Lepisosteus oculatus: one gene and its partners. The protein of the gene in region 1 interacts with the protein of each later gene in a biochemical or structural test. Links are inferred from orthologs where the notes say so. Each region holds a gene or a part of one and is shown on either strand. Other genes may lie near its edges.

The links. The genes of interacting proteins can lie anywhere in the genome.
Region 2: the proteins of hdac4 (region 1) and pparg form a complex in vitro, tested with the Homo sapiens proteins (2 studies listed by BioGRID). The link is inferred for Lepisosteus oculatus from reciprocal best matches to the Homo sapiens genes HDAC4 and PPARG.
Region 3: of the proteins of hdac4 (region 1) and camk2d2, one has a biochemical effect on the other in vitro, tested with the Homo sapiens proteins (2 studies listed by BioGRID, with this or other methods). The link is inferred for Lepisosteus oculatus from reciprocal best matches to the Homo sapiens genes HDAC4 and CAMK2D.

The regions. Positions count from the first base shown.
Region 1 is NC_090707.1:21,979,233-21,986,567, forward strand, and holds the start of hdac4 (histone deacetylase 4), read right to left. Parts: upstream 3,001-7,335; 5' UTR 2,903-3,000; intron 1-2,902. UniProt on the Homo sapiens protein: Responsible for the deacetylation of lysine residues on the N-terminal part of the core histones (H2A, H2B, H3 and H4).
Region 2 is NC_090699.1:62,231,730-62,238,982, reverse strand, and holds the start of pparg (peroxisome proliferator-activated receptor gamma), read right to left. Parts: upstream 3,007-7,253; 5' UTR 2,830-3,006; intron 1,421-2,829; 5' UTR 1,388-1,420; coding exon 1,324-1,387; intron 1-1,323. UniProt on the Homo sapiens protein: Nuclear receptor that binds peroxisome proliferators such as hypolipidemic drugs and fatty acids.
Region 3 is NC_090696.1:69,085,329-69,092,832, reverse strand, and holds the start of camk2d2 (calcium/calmodulin-dependent protein kinase type II delta 2 chain), read left to right. Parts: upstream 1-4,498; 5' UTR 4,499-5,289; coding exon 5,290-5,351; intron 5,352-6,810; coding exon 6,811-6,905; intron 6,906-7,504. UniProt on the Homo sapiens protein: Calcium/calmodulin-dependent protein kinase involved in the regulation of Ca(2+) homeostatis and excitation-contraction coupling (ECC) in heart by targeting ion channels, transporters and accessory proteins involved in Ca(2+) influx into the myocyte, Ca(2+) release from the sarcoplasmic reticulum (SR), SR Ca(2+) uptake and Na(+) and K(+) channel transport.

The DNA.
Region 1 (7,335 bases):
ACACAAAGTCTGTGTAAAAATGCTTTAGGAATTGTTCAATATGGTACCAGCTTTTAATTGAGTTACATGTATACTAATTCATTAAAAAAAAGAGAGAGACAGCAAAAGGCCCCTGGTTTTTCTAACCATACAGATCACATTCTAAAACCAAAAGGCTGTTATTCTCCAGTGTCTTGTTTTTTTTTAGCTAATTTTGTTTTAAATGTCCCCGTACCCCCCACCCCACCCCAATGTTTACTGTGCTAGACTGGCATAAGCCCAAACTTCTGATAGGATGTGAGACACACTACAGCAGACATTAGAGTCTATTATTAAACAGCAGTAAATGTTCATTATCTGCCTGAACGTAAAATTGATCCGCAATATCCTCAAATAGGTTTCAATTGTTATCCTAAACTATAAAAAGTAAATCACCTATTCCCAAAATGAAGTCATTATTTAAAGTCATACCCTTGTGCCAAGCTGTGTAAGGGATATAAAACATTTGTGTGGTGCCTGGAATTCATGAGTAACAAGTACTCTGGACTCCAAACAAGGCTGGCGTTAAATCCATAGCCAGTCATTATACAGCTGAGATCTTTGCCACAGTATCACACAATAAAACATTTAACAGCTCAATTCTCCTATACGGTGCGACATTCTCCACTGACTATACCGTTGCTTTTCTCACCTGTTCTTGGTTGTCTTTGGATGTCAACGCACAAAGAAAACGAGCTTTCATGAGGCTGTTTTTTATATACTTCAAAACCAGCTTTACGACATCCAATCGGAACAGCATATCCAATCTGTGAGAACAAGCTTGTGACTTTTATAAATAAAAGTTTTGTGTTGGCATGCCATTCGTTGAAAGACCTGCCGAGATAACTGTGCAAATCGATTAACACACTTTCAGTGCTCTGACAGCATAATTTATTTGAACATGGTGAACTCTACTTAAAAGAAGTGACTTTCAGTGTTGGAGCTATCTTTTTCAGAATAAAGGACAGGAAGGCGATGGTTAATTCAAACCACATTTTAAACGAAGTGGAGTAATTGTTTATTTAAAAAAAACAACTGTGATTAAAATAAATTTACAGCAGTAATTTGTAGAAGCCTATTTTCCCCAAGAACAGTCACATTTAATCCTGGTTCAACAGAGCGGGCTTTTCTCAGTTTTTGACATGGGACTGCAATAAAGACACCTAGAAAAAACGCAGACACAATGGCCCTCCAGGACCAGGACTCGATATGTAAAAGTTAGGATTTCCTCAATATTTGTTTTTTTTTTCTCTGGGCCAACACCGAATCAAACACCCACACCACAAAACACTGTCCTCAAGATGTTACAGTCATTCTGCAGACGGTCGATGAAAACGGGACTTTTTGCTGTACTGTTGCAGCTCCTGTGTAATGAGAAGGGCAGTAAATCTTATTTGCTCCTTACTTTTCAGAAATGTCGGGAGAGAAATATTTAACATATACTTGTCATTTCAACATTGACGAAATAAAGTTACGGGTCATCCCCATGGGCCACGTATAAATACACTTTATTTACCAATGTACTGCGCATCTCAAAGCAAATCGCCCAAATAAAAAATTAAGAGGGCTGAATACAAAGAACTGAAGTGTTCTTAGCCCACGAGTATCAATCAAACTTTCATTCATTCGTAAACTGTAGTCTGCGATCCGTGCTCAGTAACGTGATTCTAGAGCCGAGAGACAGCAACATGCTGCTGGCTACCTTATTGTAAGTTTTGGCACGTCCTACGATGCGCATAGTTACAGAATTTTTCTACAGATTTCCACAGTTGCTGTGTACAGCCAACATTGTCCTTCGCATGGGTTACCGTTACACGAAAAGGTACCTGCCATTTCTTAATGCATACCACAGACATGAAGGGATTCATGAAATCATACTTTTCCGTTGGTGCACATCACTGTAACGCTTTTGTTAAGACTACAGTCTGGCGGTGCGTGATCATTTCAGTACAGCCAGCAGTACACTGAAAACAGCCCAAATTCCATGTAAAAACTCCCCTTACTTTACGGTTGATAAACGCCTTGTATTCTCAATGTAAAGTGAAGAATTCGAAAAAACTGTACTGTATACATAATAAGATTTCAATTTAATAATCTTATTGAAAATAAGGACACTTTCCAAATGATTAATAGACCTTAAAACGCCTTTTTTTTCTCCATAAGACAACGTCTTAAAGCAACAATGATACACATCAAGGAGGTTATTATACTGTATGTGCACCAAATTGTAACTACCTGGTTGCTGTACAGACGCACAAAAATATTATTGTACCCTGATCCTTACAATCTGGGAGGGACAGCAGATTAAAAACAACCTACCCTCATTCACAAAAAAATACCGATGCACACTTTCAAAACCGCCCACTCAAATCATCCTTAATATGACTGGTTATTACAGATTTCCCCCCTTTTGGTTGCGAGCATTGATTGGCAAAGGTCTGTGTCAATCATTAAATCTGAGCAGTTACGCCCTCTCGATCCACCAGGAACACAACTCGTATTGTCATAGGCCAGACGGACGGCCAATTACGCGAATGAATCGCCAGACCGCCCAAACATGACGCCTATAGGCCGGCGTCTCTGTCCATCTTCCACTATCTGAGGCTCTTACCTGACACAGATTGGTCGATGTTCATTAACGACCGTTAAAATACCACCCATTCTCCCAAACATTCATGTTCGGTAGAACGGTAGCGATTCAGAAAAAAAAAATGTTGAACGTGAGTGCGACCAACTTAAATACGGTACAAAACACAGTTAAGATACTGCATACCTACCCACAGGCACACATTGTTTTGCTTTTTTTAATACAAACTTGTCACTCAGTGCTTGCTGTGAGCAGAGGCACTTGAAGAGGAGAACGCTACTTTGAATCAATGCTCACCTACCTGCCCCGGGAGGCGGTCACTCCAGTCTGAAAAAAGTAATGTATTTAATTCCCGTTGGAGAGTGCGCCAGCGAAGGAGTCACTCACTGACAGATTCCGCCATACTGGATTTTGGCAAGGGGGATCACGTGTCGCGCTCCTGCATTTGAGTGCGAGGCGGAGCTTAATCCCTACAGTGTCTGAAGACATCAGGCAGTGTTGCAGTAGGTGGTGTACTTTATTGTACCAGCGTTATTAATGTGCTCTTTGAGTGTTTATTGCTTATGTCTTGGTTTTCTCAAAATCACACGGTCATTGAAAGCAATTTTCTCAAAATATAAGAACGTCCCTACGTTTTTTCATACCACATTTCAGAGGATTATTTCTCAAAATAATTGGCGTTTGTTAGTTTTAAACGGGTTTCTAGAAACTAACATCTTTTTTGAATACCTGTGTAAAGCGGTTATTAGTTCTGAGCATAAGCTTAATTATGCATGTTTACTGACTTTATATAATAGGTTGCATTTTTACGATACGTTTTTTTTGCTTAAATGTTCTAAGTTTTTAGCAGGGTATAGAAGTAAACACAAATGAAACACTAAAAGAGCAAAGGATAAATACTTGCTACATCATTTAATACTGTAGTGTTTGTATTGTAACGAAATGTTCCAAGAGAAGAAACCAATCAGCCATTCCATCTTGGTTATTTGGGTGCTAGAAGCTTTTAACTCCCTGCATTCATATAGCCTTTTTCATCCTAAAGAGTTGTAAACATAGGAGTGGGATCCTCTTCATTCACCGCTGAAATGCAGTATTCACCCAAGAGATGCTGCTACAATAAATCAATGCTGCTATTCAATACATTTAGTGTCTGTACATCTAGTTCTTGTTGAATCATATTCCAGAATTCCACAATTGTACAGTTTGTTCCAGACTCCCCCCAACACTTCTAGGAAAGTGCTTCCCCAATTTCAATGCTAAATGTACTCCTTCTCAGAAGCACTTGTTTCAAAGTAGTCATCTACTGTAGGTCAGATTTATTTATTCCTACCATATTTACTAATCCTTGACTATGCCATCTACTGATAATCAAGCCCTGGATCTCAGAAAAAGTCTGAATCCTTCCCCCCTACTCCCGCTCTTAAACAAACGAGTTCTGGGATCAACTTTAAACCCAGAATATTATCAACAATCCCAACCCCACCACCACCACCACCACCATCAACATAACCCAGGTAAGTCAAGGAATAACCAGAAAATGACCATAATAGATGCAGAAAGCCAGAACAGAAGCTGTAATATAATTATATATAAAAATGCAAGTTATAATAAAATCTAAAGAGGCACGGGTAATAATGTCACCACACAGAAACCACATTGGACTCAAAGATAAAATACTGTACAAGTCATCTAATATCCCTGAAATTAGACATGTTCCCCTACTTAATCTATGGTGGTGTAGCAAAGATTATAAAAACAAACATAAGGGAGAAGCCCACAATGAAGCCTCTAATCCAGGTTGATTCTCTAACCTGTAATAGGGGCCACCGCCACTATCAATGGCTCAATGTCCCTAAACAGCCACTTGGCTATAAAAAGATTGGGAATAGTTCCGTCAGCCCCATGCCAAAATCAACAGGATCACTTAGACTCACTCCACCTATGTCAGGACAGATACTCTCACAAGATATTTCTGCTTGTTGGTGAACTGTATGTAACCCAACTTAACCTTGACTAATAACAGGCAACAGTTCCAATTAATTTGACCCATGAATTATCCAACTGTCCTTTGTGTTTCAAAGTATACAAAAACATCCTGGCTGAAAGGCAATGAAATATATAAAAAGCAGTCAGAGTAAAAACAAAATCCAGAATTTGCAATTATACCCCAATACTCTAGTTCCATTCACCATCTTAAATCACATTTCTAGTCACCTGCCCTGCTAATTACTCCAGGTTATTATAGCCAACATTCCCTTCTAACAAATCACTATAAATCTCCCAATTTCCCACTCTTTCTCTCAATACCCAAACCGAATCAATCCCTAATCCATTTACTCCAGCCATCTAATGATTGCAATCTGACCCTTGGAAACTTCAGGGACTTCAGTACTGTACTTTACACCCAATTTTCAAAAAAACAACAACATTGAATTCAAATGTATAAGCCCTGCACAAAACAAGGTGCATAAATCCATGACTAAAAAAATAAACAAACAACTACAAAAGTCTTTAGTGGCAATGGAATGGAGCATTTGGATCATGTCCTCTTGTAGTCTTTCTGTTGCACCATCAACCTGTTCAGCAAATTACAATCACCACCCTGCCATTTCAATGCAAGAACATCACCTTAGAGCCTAAGATGTATTTTCTCCAGCCTCTAGGTCACTGTGACCCAAAAGGCCTCTTAACTTAATCAGCCCATTGCCACTGAAACCTCCCTTTGGAACTCTCACTCTGTTTCCTACCAACCTGAAATCTAGACCCACACTGAGACCCTTTTCTTACTGACTGTTCTTCTACACCTCTCAATTAGTCCAGGGGCGTGGCCACCTCCACACAGAGCCTTTCCTATTTCCCTCACTTTCTCTCTCTGAATGATAATTACTCAATTAGTTCAGGTGGGTAGATGTGTCAGCATGCTTAGGCTGTAAAGGAACAAGTAATAGGTTTATTCCATGCTGAAAAAAAGAAGAAAAAACACAATGTTTTGGCCGTGGAGCCTTCTTCAGGTGAAATTATTGATACTCTCAAACCTATTAAAATACTGTATATCTAACATTTTTCAGATTAAACCAACCCTATCTAAATCCATGTGGATTCAGTTTGTTATACTGGACATATTTATTAACAGTCAACATGACCTTCCAATGTAGATTTTATTTTTTCCTAACCTTGCAAAAAGAGATATAAACGTCGCTGGCATAAAGTCTCTGGTTCAGTGTTCAGCCTTTCCTCTGAATGTATGCATCATCTGCATTTTTTCACTGGGAACACGAGTCATTTGAAATATCCCAGTTAAGGGTACCTGTCACATTCTTTATTTCCTGAAAGACTTATGGACCTGGTCATCAGGTCCAGCCAATTAGTTAACTCTACAGAGAGTTAAGATTATTCAAAACCAAATGGAGCCTAAGGGATGCTGAGCTCTCTTCAGTGAAAACATTTGGTCAATATACCAGTACTTGTTGTTCCTTTTTCATTGTCTACAATTAACAGACTTTCAGTAGTGAAAAAAAAAACTCTTTGTGTTAGTTTTAGCTCCCAGTGCATATTCTTCTCCATTTCTCTCAGCTGTTCTGATGTCAGATTTGACAAATGCAAGCCCCTCACTGTATTATGTTTCTATTGGTCCTGGTTTAAATTAAATGTAATTTTAAAGTGAATTTGTTCTCCCTTAATAATTTGTGCTTTGGGGCTTCCAACATGAAGATATCTTCCACAGAGGAATAATAACCTTTTGATAACCTTCATCCATACACAAATGTTCACTTACAGTACATAATGTTCAGACCACTTGTTGTAAGGACATCAGAAATCTACTAATCAATTTTTGTTTGATAAAGGAGACAGACTCTTCTTTTCAAACATGTTTCTGAATGTGGCATAATCAGAGAGAATAGAAGAGGAAACCCATATACAAAACTGAGCAAAGCCCCACCTATCAAACAAGATATTGTATGATCTCTAATACTCCTACATGAGTTATACGAATATATGCAAGTGCCAATACCCATGTAACATGGCTCCAAGTGTAAAGGAGTAACAATAGATCAATATAAGAATTGCAGTGAAGAGCAATTGTGTACCACTTCTTTTCAGATTTGTATTTGTTCACCATTATGATAGATTTGAATTGAGCATTAAAACATATGACCATCCATTCAATTCTGAAACCGTTAACCTGAAATTTACAATCCATCATTTCCACTGTGTCATTTTCAGGTTTGGACCTTTCAACTTACAGAAAGCATCCTTGTTAAACAAAATACTATCATATAATGAGGCATTTAAGTGTAACCATAGAACATGTAAGAATCAGAATTTCACACCATTGTATAAAACAAAAGATGCCTGGCCTCACAATATAACATTTGCATATGTTTTGCTTGGGGGAAGGAAGAAAAATGAAGTGCTCCATTATTTTTGGATGTTGCATTGTGTTCAAGAAACAAGAAAGAAATATTAAGTTTGATATTGTTTGTTAATTTTACTTTTAATCCATGTCCTGGTCATTTTCCCTGAGTAAGAAAAAACAGAATAGAAGAACTGCCCTGGAAGAAAAAACTGAACAACTAATCCTGTTACTATACACGGGTACTATAAAATGTTCCCGTGTAGAATAGTGATAAAAAAACATCGTGCAGTTAAAAAATACAGATGTGCAATTAAAATTATAACAAATGCTGTGTCCACAAGGTAGAGGAAGGACCCTGTGTGTCGTTCTGAGA
Region 2 (7,253 bases), on another chromosome or scaffold:
GCAAGAGCTACCATCTTTGTACAGAACAGGGCTAACACTGGTGCAACCTGTTTGACCACATTCAGCAATATCTTGAAAAAGGATAAGTCATCCTAGAAATATGACTAAACAAGCAGCTAGCCCAGTCTTCACAACAACCTTTATTTATGTTTGGATCTCCTTACTCTGTAACTCTCTTCTTGGAATTAGAAAACTTTACAATTTAGTATATGTTCTTGTCAGTTGTATTGTAATCATTATAGCTTCTACAACAAAAAGAAGCTACATCAGAAAATACCTGAATAATTTCAGATATTTCACCGACTTGTCTGCTTTGATTTAATCAATTTAATCCTTGACTAATGCATAGATATTTAAGATTTGAGTGGAAACTACATTATCTTCAGAGATAGTATCATATTTACATTTCTGATGCTATGCCACAGAAATCCTGGTCTGAATTAACTTCATGGCCAGGAGACAAGGCTGACAGAAATGTTTGGGAATGGATACTGTAAGAAGGATATTTTACATTTGCGTATACTTTATGACTGTTAGAACTTTAAATGTTGTTCCATACAGAGATAGGCCTATTTTCCCGAAGAAATGTCTTATGTAAAGCTGTGTGACACTCCTGAGTGCCTGTCTGATGGAAATCCTGGAACAGTTAGTTCAAAAACAGATTGTTTGCAGGGAAACTAGGACAGGTGCCACTGAAAAGGCTATTACGTATCCGTCCTGGAGATGCCTTTATTGTGTGACAATGTTTTTTCACAAACATGTCTGGAGAACATGAATGTAATAATCAAAGCGTACAATGCAATGGACTCATTTACACTTTCCAAAGGGAAGATAAGATTTTTAAAGAAGAATGCAGGAAGGGTTCCAAACAAGAGGTCACCATTTACTCCAGCTACTTCTGTTAACAACAGATCTAAATCTCCAAACCTCCAAATGGGTTGTGGGAGTCTGGAACAAGATCCCGAGCCTTGCTGTTGATGCCAAGGCCCAGTCTTCTTTCCAAAAAATTCCCGATTGAGATTCTCAGTTTAATTAGCTACTAGCAACTAAACGGGCAGAAAGGGCCAACTACAACCTTTCTCATATCCTTATCACAGCCACCTGTTTCTAAGACATGAAGAACTGGAATTATGTTTGAAGTGTCATAGAAAGAGAAATATCAAGATAAAAGGGTAGGGATCTTTTTTAGTTTCTGGTTGATTTATCACATTTACATTTTCAACACTGGCACCATGGTAGCATGACAGTTAGCACAACTGTTAAATTTTAGTGGCAATTGTAAATGATCCCTTTCTGGGGGGAATGTTTAGGGGGATTTCATACTTGGGGGTTTGTTCCCAGTATTAGTAGTGAGACTGTGAAGAAAACGGAACCGAATGATCGTCATCACCAGAATGGCCTCTTATCATTGGTGACTGTCCTGAAAAAAAAACAATGTATAGATTTTCCACATGGATACGCGAAGGTCAGATGTATACAATAAAATAACTGGCTACAAATGGCATACATATTATCACCTCTTTTAATCCAAGAAGAAACAATGAATATTTAAAGGGAACTAGATAACAATGTCAGTAATAAAATAATATTTAAGAAACACCTACACAATTCTCAAGATTCTTCCAAAATATGAGCAGGGCTTACTATGAAGAACACCCTGTATTGCACTGTACACTATTGTGCAATCAGAACTAGAATACTTCTTGCAAGCTGTCTAGACACATAACATTATCAAATGCGTAAAGAAAAAAAGATATGATAAATGGAGTCAACTTTGAGAATATCTTTACAGTTTGACATCTTTACAAAAAAATAACTTTCAGTGAGAAAAAGTTTATTTATACTGTACTTCACAGATGAACACAAATCATTTGTTTCAAAATCATATGGTGCAGAATAGGTTTTACATGTAAAAATTGTCCAGCTTCCTGACATACACCTCTGCTTTTTCAATCATTTCATCTACAGTGGAAAGCCCAGAGAACACACTGAGGCGCTGAGTAAGAAACCTCAAAACCAATAGCAGGGTTTTGCCTCTTGAACAGAAGAGGCTGTGAACTCCTGACCCTGGCAGCAGTTCGTTTCTTTGCCCAGGTTAGTTCATCGCGCAACCTTTCAAAATTTCTACATTTTGAAAAATGATACATTTCTGTATACCAGGCTAGTTCAGATTTAGGTCATCGCTGAAACGCGACGGTAGGCTTTTGAAATAACCTCCTTCTTCGATCAGCAGGGTGGTACAAAATGTGAAGCTGAGGGAAAACCCCCCGAGCTTATTGCATTTTCCAAATTAATATCTTATCTAATTTGAATCATTTACCAAATCAGACATTTCTTCCCTTAAATTGTTAGTATTCCACGTACAGTAGGAGCTGAAATAATATTTTAATAGCAACAGACATAAACTACTTGAGAGGTTTGTTTGCTTGTTAAAGAATAGACATATTTCATATTTCAATACATAGACACTTTCGACTAACAGATATTTCTTATTGATCCTGAGATGAGATCTGATCTAAGGGAGGGCTGTGACACACCCGCCCTGCTGGACCAGAATTGGACAATTTTAGGTGTTATAGGTTTTAGCAAACTTATACAATTTCTAAAACTTCACAAATATATTTTCCATGGCTAATTCAAGAGCCGTTACAGTCGTGTGAAAAGTTTCTTTTTTGCTTTTGTTATACTAGTTTATAATAGTTTCCTTTTCCCTCCACATTTTGGATGTTTTGAAATGCCGACTGGCAGAACTTATGCTGATGCTGATGCTAGGGAACCAATTCACTAACACTCCATGAAAAATAAAAAAAGACGAGGGTCAGCACTCACCATACACTGTTTTAAAAAGCTGTGACATCTGGCATCCAAAATTTATGATTTTTCCATTGAGGTGGTTGCGATGAACTTTTGACTTTTAGCAAGTGGGTAATGCCCTTGGTGGATTTGCCCAATTAGTAGGAACTAAAACACACATTTTCCGCTTTTGACACAACATAACCTTAGCAAAAGTGCAGACAGCTAACAATCATGTGGCCTCAGTGTGGAGTATTAGTAAACGCAGATGACTTCCTGTTGCTTCATTCCTACTTACAGACACTCAGTTGCACTTCTCTTGATGGGGGACAGATAATGTTTTTTGTTGTGAGTTTTTTTGTCTTGCCAATATCCTGCAGTTGTTTTACGTAGAACTGGGTGGTTTCATATGAAAGCAAACTTTGGTACTATTACTATGTATATAAAATAAAATAAAAAACAGTCTGAATGTTAACTAAGCACTATTTGAACAAGATTTACAATTTTGTGTCCCTGAAAATAATATATTCTGAAATGTTTAATGAATATCTGAAATTAAACTTATGTGAATGTGTTTCGATCAATTACATCCACCCATTATCTAAAAACTGCTTATTCCTGGTAAGAGTCATGGGAATCTATCACAGAAGCACGTGGTTCCAGTTGGAAGTTAAAAAATACTGGAATTTTAAGACCAAAAAACAATACAATTACTATTTTATTATGAGGAAAAATTGCTTTACAGTGATGAAAAACACATAAAGTAAGATATTTCATGACATTATTAAGCAGTGGATCAAAGTTTGTACTGAAATTAGCTTATGACATAGAGTCATAAGCAATTTCGAAAGATCATCTCTAAAAAACAGAAAAAAGGTTAGAAAATTAATTTTCTTTGAATCCATTAATTCTACCACATGAATCAGACCACCTGGTTAGACTGCAGGTTAGCACAAAATGTATTTTTTATTTTTTCCCAATGCTAACCCAGAGCTTTACAAGATGTGGGTCAAGATGTGGCATAAAACATATTATGGGTCCACGTGCAACAAAATTGCATCATGTTCAAAAGATGAAATCTTAGTCATGGTAAAGCTGTGATTCAAACATAGTAGTACTGTACGTGTTTGGCTAAAATGAAGAATATCAACACGAAGTGGGCAAATAAACTCAAATAAGTTACTATGGCACTCCAATATTTGAAATGATTATATGATAGGGCACGCAAGACAACTTGTAGAAGTCTGTTATACCACAAAGGAAGTCAGAATAGGAGCTGTGTAGAACCTTAATGACAAGAGGTGAACTCAACTCTTGGTTGAGTGCTACAGAAAGGCATTTAAACTAATTATATTCTGAGAATAAGCATGAATGTACATACACCAGTATTTATTTTAACACATATGGTGAGAATAAATTGGGCTGCAGATACATAAGATCAATTTTAAGGTATAAATTCAAAACCTATGTTATCTCTATGAGAAGATATCATTCTTTACCAGATAGCACTCTTGGGATTCCACAAGTCTTACTGGAATTTTTTCAATAACACACTTCTGGCAAGTGCTGCACATCCCAAAATCTTTATTGTCCAGCTCCCTGGGAATTTGATTTTGCACAATATATAACGACATAACCTTTTGCCTAATTTCTTTTAATAGGAACAAGTTAACGGCCGATTACTCCTTTGGGAGCAGCTGAGTTTCCTTCGCGGATAAGGAACAGAACCACAACAGTCAAGGACTTTACTCATCTCGGATGCTGCAAGCCTGCAGAAGGAATCGACACCACTCCTCAATGTATATTAGGAAAGGCAGGAGCTGAGTGGTTAAAATAATGATTCACAGTATGGAAATGCCATTAACCACAAGCTGCCACCCTCATTAAAGGAACATTTGTGGTACTTAGGGTTTTGACTCGAGCTGTTAAGTGTTTGTTGGGATTTTTTTAGGTAAAATTTTAGTTCTGAAGACCCCTCCCAAAAGTGTGCAAAAGGGCTTACCCCCTATCCAGACTGGAAGTTGTTAACCTGGAAAACTCACCTCCCCTCACTCTTGAAGAGCCAGCTCTGAATGGGATCAGTTTACGGGGTTTTTTTTCTATGGCTTTTTTCTGCTTTGTTCCCTATTGTTTTCATTTTAAACAGGAAGGCCATGTTTACTCGCCTTACAGGCACACACCTCCTGAGGTGAAGAACAAGGCTGTAATCAAGAGAAAATAAAACTCATAGCTCATTATGATGTAATGCTATGGCGAGCCCTTGAATTTTAGACTACATGATCGCTTCTAAAGCACTGACGTGGAAATGCCTTCGAAAGATTAAGATGAGGATTTTCAACGTTTTTCAGTGCCAAATATGCTCCCCATTTTCCGAAAGCATAAAATTAAAGTACAAACCTAGTGACAGGAAATGTAGATATGAATATTAGAATTGAAATGAGATTATATGAACACCTACAGAATGTGCAAACAGTAGATGACAAATCCAGACTGATTCCTAAGAATGTTGTGCTCAGTCATGTAATGGGATTAAAATATGTGAACACTAGGTACCTTAAAAATATGATGGAATCTGGTTCACAGTTTCACAAAATGAGCTGGACTTTATTATATGAGGAGTACGGTTTACACTACAGCTAAAGTTTCTAATATGTTTTCTAATACGTTTTCTAATATGTGTTTTAACTCAGCTATAAGCCTATATATCCAAATTTTACAATCTGAAAAAATCACCTTAATTAAAAGTGCCATTGCCTTCACTGCACCTTTGGATTTAGGCAGTAAAACACCATTTGGAGTCTTTTGTTTGAATTTTAGAATCACCTATTTTTACTTTACCTGATTCAGCTAATGGCTATGAACCCCGCAACCTCACATGGAAGAATGAGGAAGTGTATGAAGACTCCTCTTACCTTTCTGCCTTCAAGGCCTTCCACTCTTCACTGGCTACGGAACCCCAATTACATGACAGCACCTCCCCCAGAGCACCCAGGAAATCTGGGGGGTTGCTGGGACCCGAGAGAACCCCAGTTTACTAATCCCACCCCTTTTTTTTCTGTGGTGCTCAGCCAGATCTGGCGCAAACACTAAGGGGAAATCTCAGTCACCATCAGTTAGTGACGCGACCCAGGACTGAACCCCTGAAGCTTTCATCACAGAGATCAACCTGCTCTCAGGTGACAACATCTTTGCAGGTTGAAGCCCACAATTCTGAATATCTCATGAGGTCAGTACAAGTCAGACAGTTATTCATATGCTGAAAAAGCACAGAAAAAAAACCCACATGCACTGTGCAAGGTTCCTTCACCGTTTTGGGGTATTTTAAGATAAGATAAGATCACGTTATTGGTCATATACAATTTCTTGTTTTAAGAATTTGTCTTTTCGCATACGCCAACTTGCTCTCCATGAGACACACAGACAGGGAGAGAAGCTTGGGGTCAGAGCGCAGGGTCAGCCATTTATACGGTGCCCCTGGAGCAGCTGGGGTTAAGGACCTTGCTTCTAGCCACAGGCACAGATCTTTAGCCACAGAGCTACATTTTTTACATAAATCTAAATTGTACAGAGGACATGGAGTGCAGCCTCATAACATGAGGTGCAAACTGATGACATATTTTACGAAAAGCAGGAAGAAGCAATTGCACATTTTTCTATACACCACTCATTATGCCTGTTTGGTCACGGGCTATTCTACCTGCAGGGAGGCTGTTTATTCATGGAGGCTCAGAAAGTTGCGTGTGAGCAGGAACATGATGTGACAAAGACCCAGAGGCCCCATTAGGCACTTTCTAATCAGTGATTTGCTGCTACTGACACACCTTCCATTTATTGGTGAAGTTCAAAGTCCTTCAAACAGATGCACATCTCTTCGAATGAAGTCTACCACTACTGGGTCTCCTGTACATTTGTATGCTTACATAACAAATACAGACTGTGATATAAGGTATTTAATATACTGTACAATGGATCTAATACAATCCAATGTTTGAGAGAATGTTTACCTGCCCTTTCCAGGTTGTGCCACCTTAAGCAGAGAACTCGTTTGTAACAAGTTTCCAATTCAATACTATTACATACATAAGATACACAGACACTAGTCTAACATGTATAAATGAACATAACCCTGTTGTGTCACAAAATATACTGTCAATCCAGGACATCTGTTTAAAGCCCCTGTGATGCACCTACAGTAGTTCTGTATGTAACAAGTAGCGGCTGTTCATAGGTAATATGGGAAGTCAAATTAATTTGAAGTAACTAGATTAGTTCATACGCAATTATAATAAAATATTGTAAATGCAATTCTTTAACTTAGCTTTTTATGCGTACTTAGAATATAGATGAATTGAACTATGATGTAATGATGCCATATGTGATCCAAACATTTCTAAAAATGTATAATGTTTCCAAAGTTAAAGGGAAAAATGAACAGAAACAGTGAACGTATGGGTATGTTT
Region 3 (7,504 bases), on another chromosome or scaffold:
TACTGTACTACAGTATCTACGGTAGGTTCTAACAGAGGGGATTTCACTTCTGTAACATTCTCAATGCCACTCAGTCCCGTTACAATGCCAGTTAGTGACACTCTAGTTAGTAACAATTGAAAGAGTGGTGTGTCTCTCACCGACGTCACTGAAAACTTGCAGTCACCTGTTAGGTCCCAGGAATCACAGTGAATGCTAAAACAACCCAAACTAAATACTGCAGTATTGCTCCTGGAACACAGGTAACAGCTGACTAGCGACTTGGTCCAGGCTCTTAGCAACAATTTCAAGCTTGATAAGATATTAATTTTAATACTTTTTGTAACATAATTGTATTCAACCAACCACAGTTACCCGCTACACAGCAAGGATCAGACAGAGATCTTTGGCAGATGTGTCCTAGTACAGTAATTAAAGTCAGGAAATATACTGTAAATGTGTGAAAGATATAAGAAGATATACTGTAATATTATCTTCCAAACTTTCTGTTTACATGTACATTTTAGCCAAAGTTCTTGAGATTTGTTTTACTTGTTTTATCAATAGTGAAGCAAAGAAAAGAGTATAGTTCACATTTCTACATTGTGAGTTAATAGAAATAACCACTTATTTCATCATCATGCTCTACAATATGATCTTATATCCTCATCTGTGATTCAGACAAACCTCATGTACTGTAGCATTGAGTGCTGACTAAAGTTTTCAGATACAGTAGATACCCAGCTCTTGGAAGACTGACAGACCTTGCTCAAGGTGGACACATTTAAACCATTGCTTAAGCACTTATTAAGGGAGGTATTAACATGTCACAGGAAAAATGAATAAGCCACTTCACATTGCTGAAGATTTAAGGATCTGGAACAGTCTTTGTTAGTGCTGGGAGTCTGAAGATAGAAGAAGACTGTCACGAAGTGTTTTTCAGGACCCTATGCAGATGGCAGAATCTGGAGGGGAGTGAGACAAACACAGGGAAAACGACTAGGATTGGGGCTGGAAGAAAAACAGGGGGTGTCAACTCTCAGATGTTGGTGACCACCGGGATCTCCAGAGCATTAGTATCTCACCGTCCTTGAAAATAACACTTCCATCACCAAAACATTCTGCAGTAAGTCCAGTCTGTAAGAATAAATATTTACAGTAATTTAACAATATCATGTATTAAACACAAGCAGTATGTCCTCTGGATACTGGTGAGTGTACAGTACCAGCTACCAGGCAGGACTTATATTACATATATGTTCTTTTTAAGAGTTAAAATTGTATTTTTTATAACGAATTGGATGTCACATTAGATTCAGAAGATAAGATAGACATGTGCTGGGCTTTGCATGCAGGTAGCAAAAATATAAACTATAAATACAAAATGGGAACTCCTAAGCTGGAAACAGCTACTTATGAAAAAGGTTAATGTTTATGTTGACACCTTATGTACATTTTCTATATAATGTGTAAAAGCTAGAGATTAAGATACATGAAATAATGAATGCATTCTTTTTTATGCCAGATATTTAACAAATGCAATTGCATAGCTTTGGAGCAGCATCCCTTCTTAAATCACTCAGCATGTATCAATTTGGAGATTTCTTCCTTACTAATGTATTGTCTCATTAGCTTTAAATACTTGGAAGCAGTGAGGCAGAAAATCAAGAAAAACTCTGGTGCTCACAAGAGTAAGTCTCACCGTGTGGGCTGAGGTAAGGCCACAGCCATTCGATGTTGATTGGCTAGGAGGAAACAGGAATTGACAAGAGACTACTGCACAACCTTTGGCTAAGAAAAAAAAAATAAAACTGAAAAATGTCAGAGCTCTGAGAAATTAAATTACAGCAGCAGCTCCCTGTGCCCAGATCACTGTGGTTAAAAGAGGAACAATGGCTTTCTACTTTCTCATCATTCCTCTCAAACTGAGTCATCTGTGGAATTTGGTTACTCAGTTCTGTTCCATTCATGTGTAGGATGATTTTGCCCTCTTCTCCCAATTTCAGGGAACCAAAACGTTTTTCTGAGGTTTTAAAGCATTTACTGGGCAATAACATTACAAGTTCTCAAGCTATCTGTAGACCAAGCCAGACAAAAAATCACCTTTTAAAAGCAGGAGAAATATGAGCCTTCAAAAACCTCATGTGTTAGTGTCACCTTTTACCGACCGCTGGAGAAATAACGACTATACTGTAGGGATGAAAGCTGTACTGCACAATCACTTGTATAAATCTATTCTGGAATAGATTTTGCCTGTTTATGAGGGCATCTGTAAATTAAACTTTAAATACAGACTTCAATAGTTAGCATATAAACCATCTGAATTCCTGTCTTTGGTTGCATACAGTAAATGTTTTACAATGCATTGTTGTTTTATATGGACACAAATGTTTGAGAATCTTATGGTGTAGAGTATCGTCATATTAAAGGGGAAAGTTGGTCAATGGTGAGTATGATAATTTAAGGACTTATGCTTTACTTTTGAAGAAAACAACTTGCAACCTGTGCAAAGTATTTAAATACGTCATAAATATATTCACTTTTAGTTGTGGTAAGGAAGCATGAAGATTTGATTTCATCAAGTTGCAGAGTAGAAGAATCTTTGTAAAGATGCCATTGTCTATTCACTCAATGGTACGTAATCCTCTCCTCCTGCTCATGCTGTGTACTGTATAAACAAATGTCCCAGAATAAATTTAAAACCTTTGAGATGTGAGCAAATCATGTAAAACAACAATCAAAGTTTACCTATTGAAGTGAAACAAAATGGGGTGATTTAACATTAAAATAAAACCCACTGTTTAAAATCCATAGAGGACAAAACATAACCCTCTCCTCAGCATAGAAAAGCCACTAGAGGACTCTCTGAGCTTATAAATGCTGGCCAGACACACCCCCACCCCATATTTAGGAAACAGGAAATTGGCAGTTGGTTTATATTGCAAACCTACAAACTATGAATAAGGGAAGTAATTCAAAACCAAATAAAGGTAAGTACACTACAGCAGCTGACTGCAAATACAGCACTGTATATACACACTACAATATACTGTATATATCATAACTTTAACAATAATGTAACCCACATTCAGCTATAAATACAATTGTTACTAAGTTACACAATGCAGTAAACTCATATCCTAAATATGGATCACTACTATGCGTTCTGTAAAATACCACCTAACAGCTACAGTAAATGCTTTGTACTGTATATCCACCAGAATACTGCATATTGTCAGGTTATTTTGAGGGCACATACATTCTCTTGTTTACCTCTCCAACAAAATTCTCATACAGTACCTTCATCTTGATTTTTTTTTTCATAAAGGTGCATTGACTTGGTTTTCTGTGTTAAATTCTGGCTAAGCAGGGATTTCTTTTTTGCCTAGCCTGCATGGTGCCTGTGTTTTTGAGACACAGTCACAAAAGGTTGGGCAACTGCTGACAGACATACATTTATCTACAATATCACTTAACTACAAAACAAGGTGCTTACAGATGGTCTCCCCTCACTGTCCTCCCGTGACATCAGTGAACGGCAGTCCATTGAACCCCACGAATGTTAGATTTCAGATCTGAAGGCAGGTAGTAATTACACAAGACCAGATCTGTAGGGTAAGACTAGTGTTCACAAAACAGTGGCTTGACCAAAATAAAATATGACAAGCACATTGTTGTGAAGCAATAGCATACTGTTGGGCAACACAACACCCCCCCCGTTGATAACTTGCTTTAGTTTTTTCATCAAAATTGTTTTCATAATATCCTGTTAGTTGTTTTGTTTATTATGTAAACAGCTTGATGATAATACCAGAAAATGGTTCAATGCAGATCCTTGTGAGTTACAGGTACCCCTTATTCTTCAAATGCATGAACTTCTGTTATGTCTCAAGAGAGGTGAATCAGTGTCTCTTCATCTGTAGAGTTAGGCATAACAGATAGCTGGATCTGCATTACAAAGTGAAGACCTGGAAGTTTCTATTCATAACAATTTTGAGTGTAGAAACATTGAGGTATTTATTTTTCAGAGATTTCGGAAAAGAAAACGGGATTTTGTGGATGATCACTGAAACATTTCCAAAGAAAAGCCAACCTCCGCGGGTACATCACTGATTCTGTTGCATTCATTTGCCATTACTGCGGTCTCAACTCAGGATGAGGAGGCTCCAATATAATCAATACTGCTCTTATCCCTATCGTCTATTTATTTTCTCCTCTTATCATTTTTACTCAAAATACATAAGGGGCAGAGAATTTTACAGTCGGATGAGAAAAAATAATAGCGAGCAACAATATTCTCTGCTGAAATTTCACCGTCCTTCTGTGCCACTGTCAAATATTAATATATTAATCTGTGCAAGACGAACTCGTTCGGCCCTCGCAGACGGATCTATAACGCTAAGCAAACAACGAGAGTTAAAAGTGGTTTCTCCTCCCAGTTTAACGTAACTCTCGCACTACTTTTTCCGTTTCTCGCGGTAAACGGGAGGATTTATATTCGTCTTTCTGAAATCTGGTTGCGAACATGCAGTATTGTAGAGGCACTGTTATACAGATCTGTGATTGGGGGGGGGCAACAAGACATTGTGGTTAACACAATGTATCGCATTATTTTAAAACTGCACACTCTTTAAAATAACCCAGCAACATATAAGCCAGAAAATTGTTTTTGCAGCGCGCACATGAGTCGTGGTGTTTCTGTGTGGATCGAAACCAATTAGTCCTTTAAAGATTAAAGCTGGTGTACCGCAGGTGTACACCACACAGCGAAATGACCACGCCGTACACAAACATCTGACCCATATTGTTTGCTTTTTGTTGTTGTTGTTGTTGTTGTTGTTGTTGTTATCGAACAATTCAAAATACATTTTCCTTTAAAGGCTAAAGCCGATTCAGAGGTCTTGGCGCTATAAGAAGCAGGGCACTTATTCGCCTACAGAGATAGACGCTTCGGATTTACGATTTACTGTAGACATCTTCTTGCAGAAATAGGAGATTGGTAGTACAGCTAGGGGGAGATCTGGTACAGTATCTAAAATCAGGAAGCACTCCAGAGAAATGTTATTGCACACAGAGGCTGTGTGTCAGCAGAGATCTGCCGCTTTCAACGTTACTAACGCAAGCGAGATTCAGTGATATAAATATACATTTGAGACGCAGTCAGGCGTTTTAGAATCTCCTCCACTGGATTTTTACTTTTTGTTTTTTGGGACAAGAAACCACTGAAGGAAGACTGGAACGGGGAGATCTTAACAAGATACATTTTAGAGGCATTTTTGTTCCTTCTTCATTTAGCCCGTTTCCTTCATCATGGCTACAACAACCTGTACCAGGTTTACTGACGAATACCAGCTTTTCGAGGAGCTTGGGAAGTAAGCAAGTCTCTCATTATTGGAAATAGATGTTAATAAACCTATGTTTATGTCAAGCAGTAAGCTATTGCACAAGTTATTCGGTAAGCTAGAGGGGTAAGACTGCGCGTTTAACAGTGCTTATGGGTCTATTTGAATTCAGTAACCTCCTGGTGAAAATTTGACTTGAATGAAACTAAATTTAAACGATCTGCGTTCCTTTATGCAGTATATAACCTATGTGCTCTAAATAGTGTGCATATACATGGGTGTTTATTTTTGTTGTTACAGTACATATCTGGTGGACTGCTTCGAAGGGTTGGTCGGTGTTGCATTTGTGTTTTAGACATTCGCTAGTGCAATGCGATAAGGAGTTCACTCTAAGCAGACAAAATAACGTTGTTTCAGTGCCCACCTTATATTTAAAACAGAATATCCCATAACACACGCTGTCTTGATTTCTAGTAATTAAGGTGTATAAAAAGCAACAGGCTCTCTATCCGGCTGTATAATAGTGTGATCATGTTCTTAATGATTGGATTACACGCTTTGCCATATCCCCACACTTGGAAGTAACAGAAGGTGACCTGTAGATTTATACTGTAAGTCTTTGTAATTGCTATTATAGTAGCTGTTTGCTTCTGTCTTAATATGGGACGAATTTAAATTAATCGATGTTGTCTTCCGTCCACATACTGTACAGTACATGGAGACCGTTAAAATGGTTAGACATCCTTCCAAACATACTGTAGTTCTTCATTTTGAATTTTAGTTTCAAATTGATATCATCATTGATATCTCGTTTGTAAATGAAATCCACTGTGTTCATCGCCTAGGATTTTGAACGTTGCTTTTATAAATGCGGGTGGAAAAATGTTAAGCTTGTATTTAAATCCCATGGTTTAAATACGGTTTACGCAAACAGCTGGTATGCTTATGCTGGTATAAGAAGCAATTTACATATTAAATAAGTTTAAAGATATATCTGCTGTACTGCCAGTAAAAAAATGTGTGGGGGAGGGTGCAATTAGGTCATTTTCACTTTCTTCTGTTTGCAGAGCTATTTACAGCCTTACGCCTAGACTTAAGTCCAAATGATGATTCATGGTAGTGCCAAGAGACTTTGAGGTCTTTAATATGTTCAGTTTAACTTCAGATGGTTTAGAAACACAAATGTCAAAGCACAAAAATTACCTCTAATGGGATGCAGTTCTTTTAAACCCGCTCTTTCCCAAAGGCCCAGTCTCTGAGGTCTAATTATTAATAGGGCACAGTATTCCGCAGGGATGTTTCATGTCCAAAAGATATTTTCATGATCGTTCATATTATCTTAAATGTGTATTTATATTTAAATATGAAGGTCGATCTTTTTTGCTGTATTTAATTCCTTTATATGTATAAATTGGATGTTACATATACTGTATACTGTAAATATTATGCCAAGTGATGCAGTGCTCTGTGTCTGTTCTCATTTTTATAGGGGTGCCTTCTCAGTTGTGAGGAGATGCGTGAAGATCTCGACTGGACAGGAGTATGCTGCCAAAATTATCAACACTAAAAAGCTCTCTGCCAGGGGTACGTGCCTAGAAGCCTTTCACGTTTGTGTAGGGTACCTATGGAAATGTGAAAGTGTAGTGTGGAATTGAAGAAACTTTGAAATGAAAAGCTCTTCTGCATGAATCCAGCCAGCACTTCTGTGAAATTACTGAAAAAAATCTTAACAGTGAATGTTTCCTTCCAGTAATGTTGGCAAAAAAGTCCCAGCCATTGAATATCAATAGTCTTAATTGTTTTGTATGTCTCGTTAGGAAATCTTTCCACTTGCCAATCCTCATAAAGACAAGCACCACGATACTGATTGGCTGTGTGCAAATAGTAAGATGTTTTCAATGCTTTGTAGGCTCCTCTGAAGTACCGCTTTATGACAATTGTGGAAAAGGGGCTTTTAGTGAATAGTTAGTTACATAGTAGTTCAGGTGGGTAGCTGCGTCACCATGCATAGGCTGCCAAGGAACATGTAATAGGTTTATTCCATGCTGAAAAGAGAAGGAGGAAAACACAACATTTCTGTCCTGGAGCCTTCTTCAAGGTTACATGGTTGTTAAGTAATATATATATATAACTCTTAGGCTAGTTAAGTATTTCTGCTGTACAGGTCACCGAGTTCTTAAATT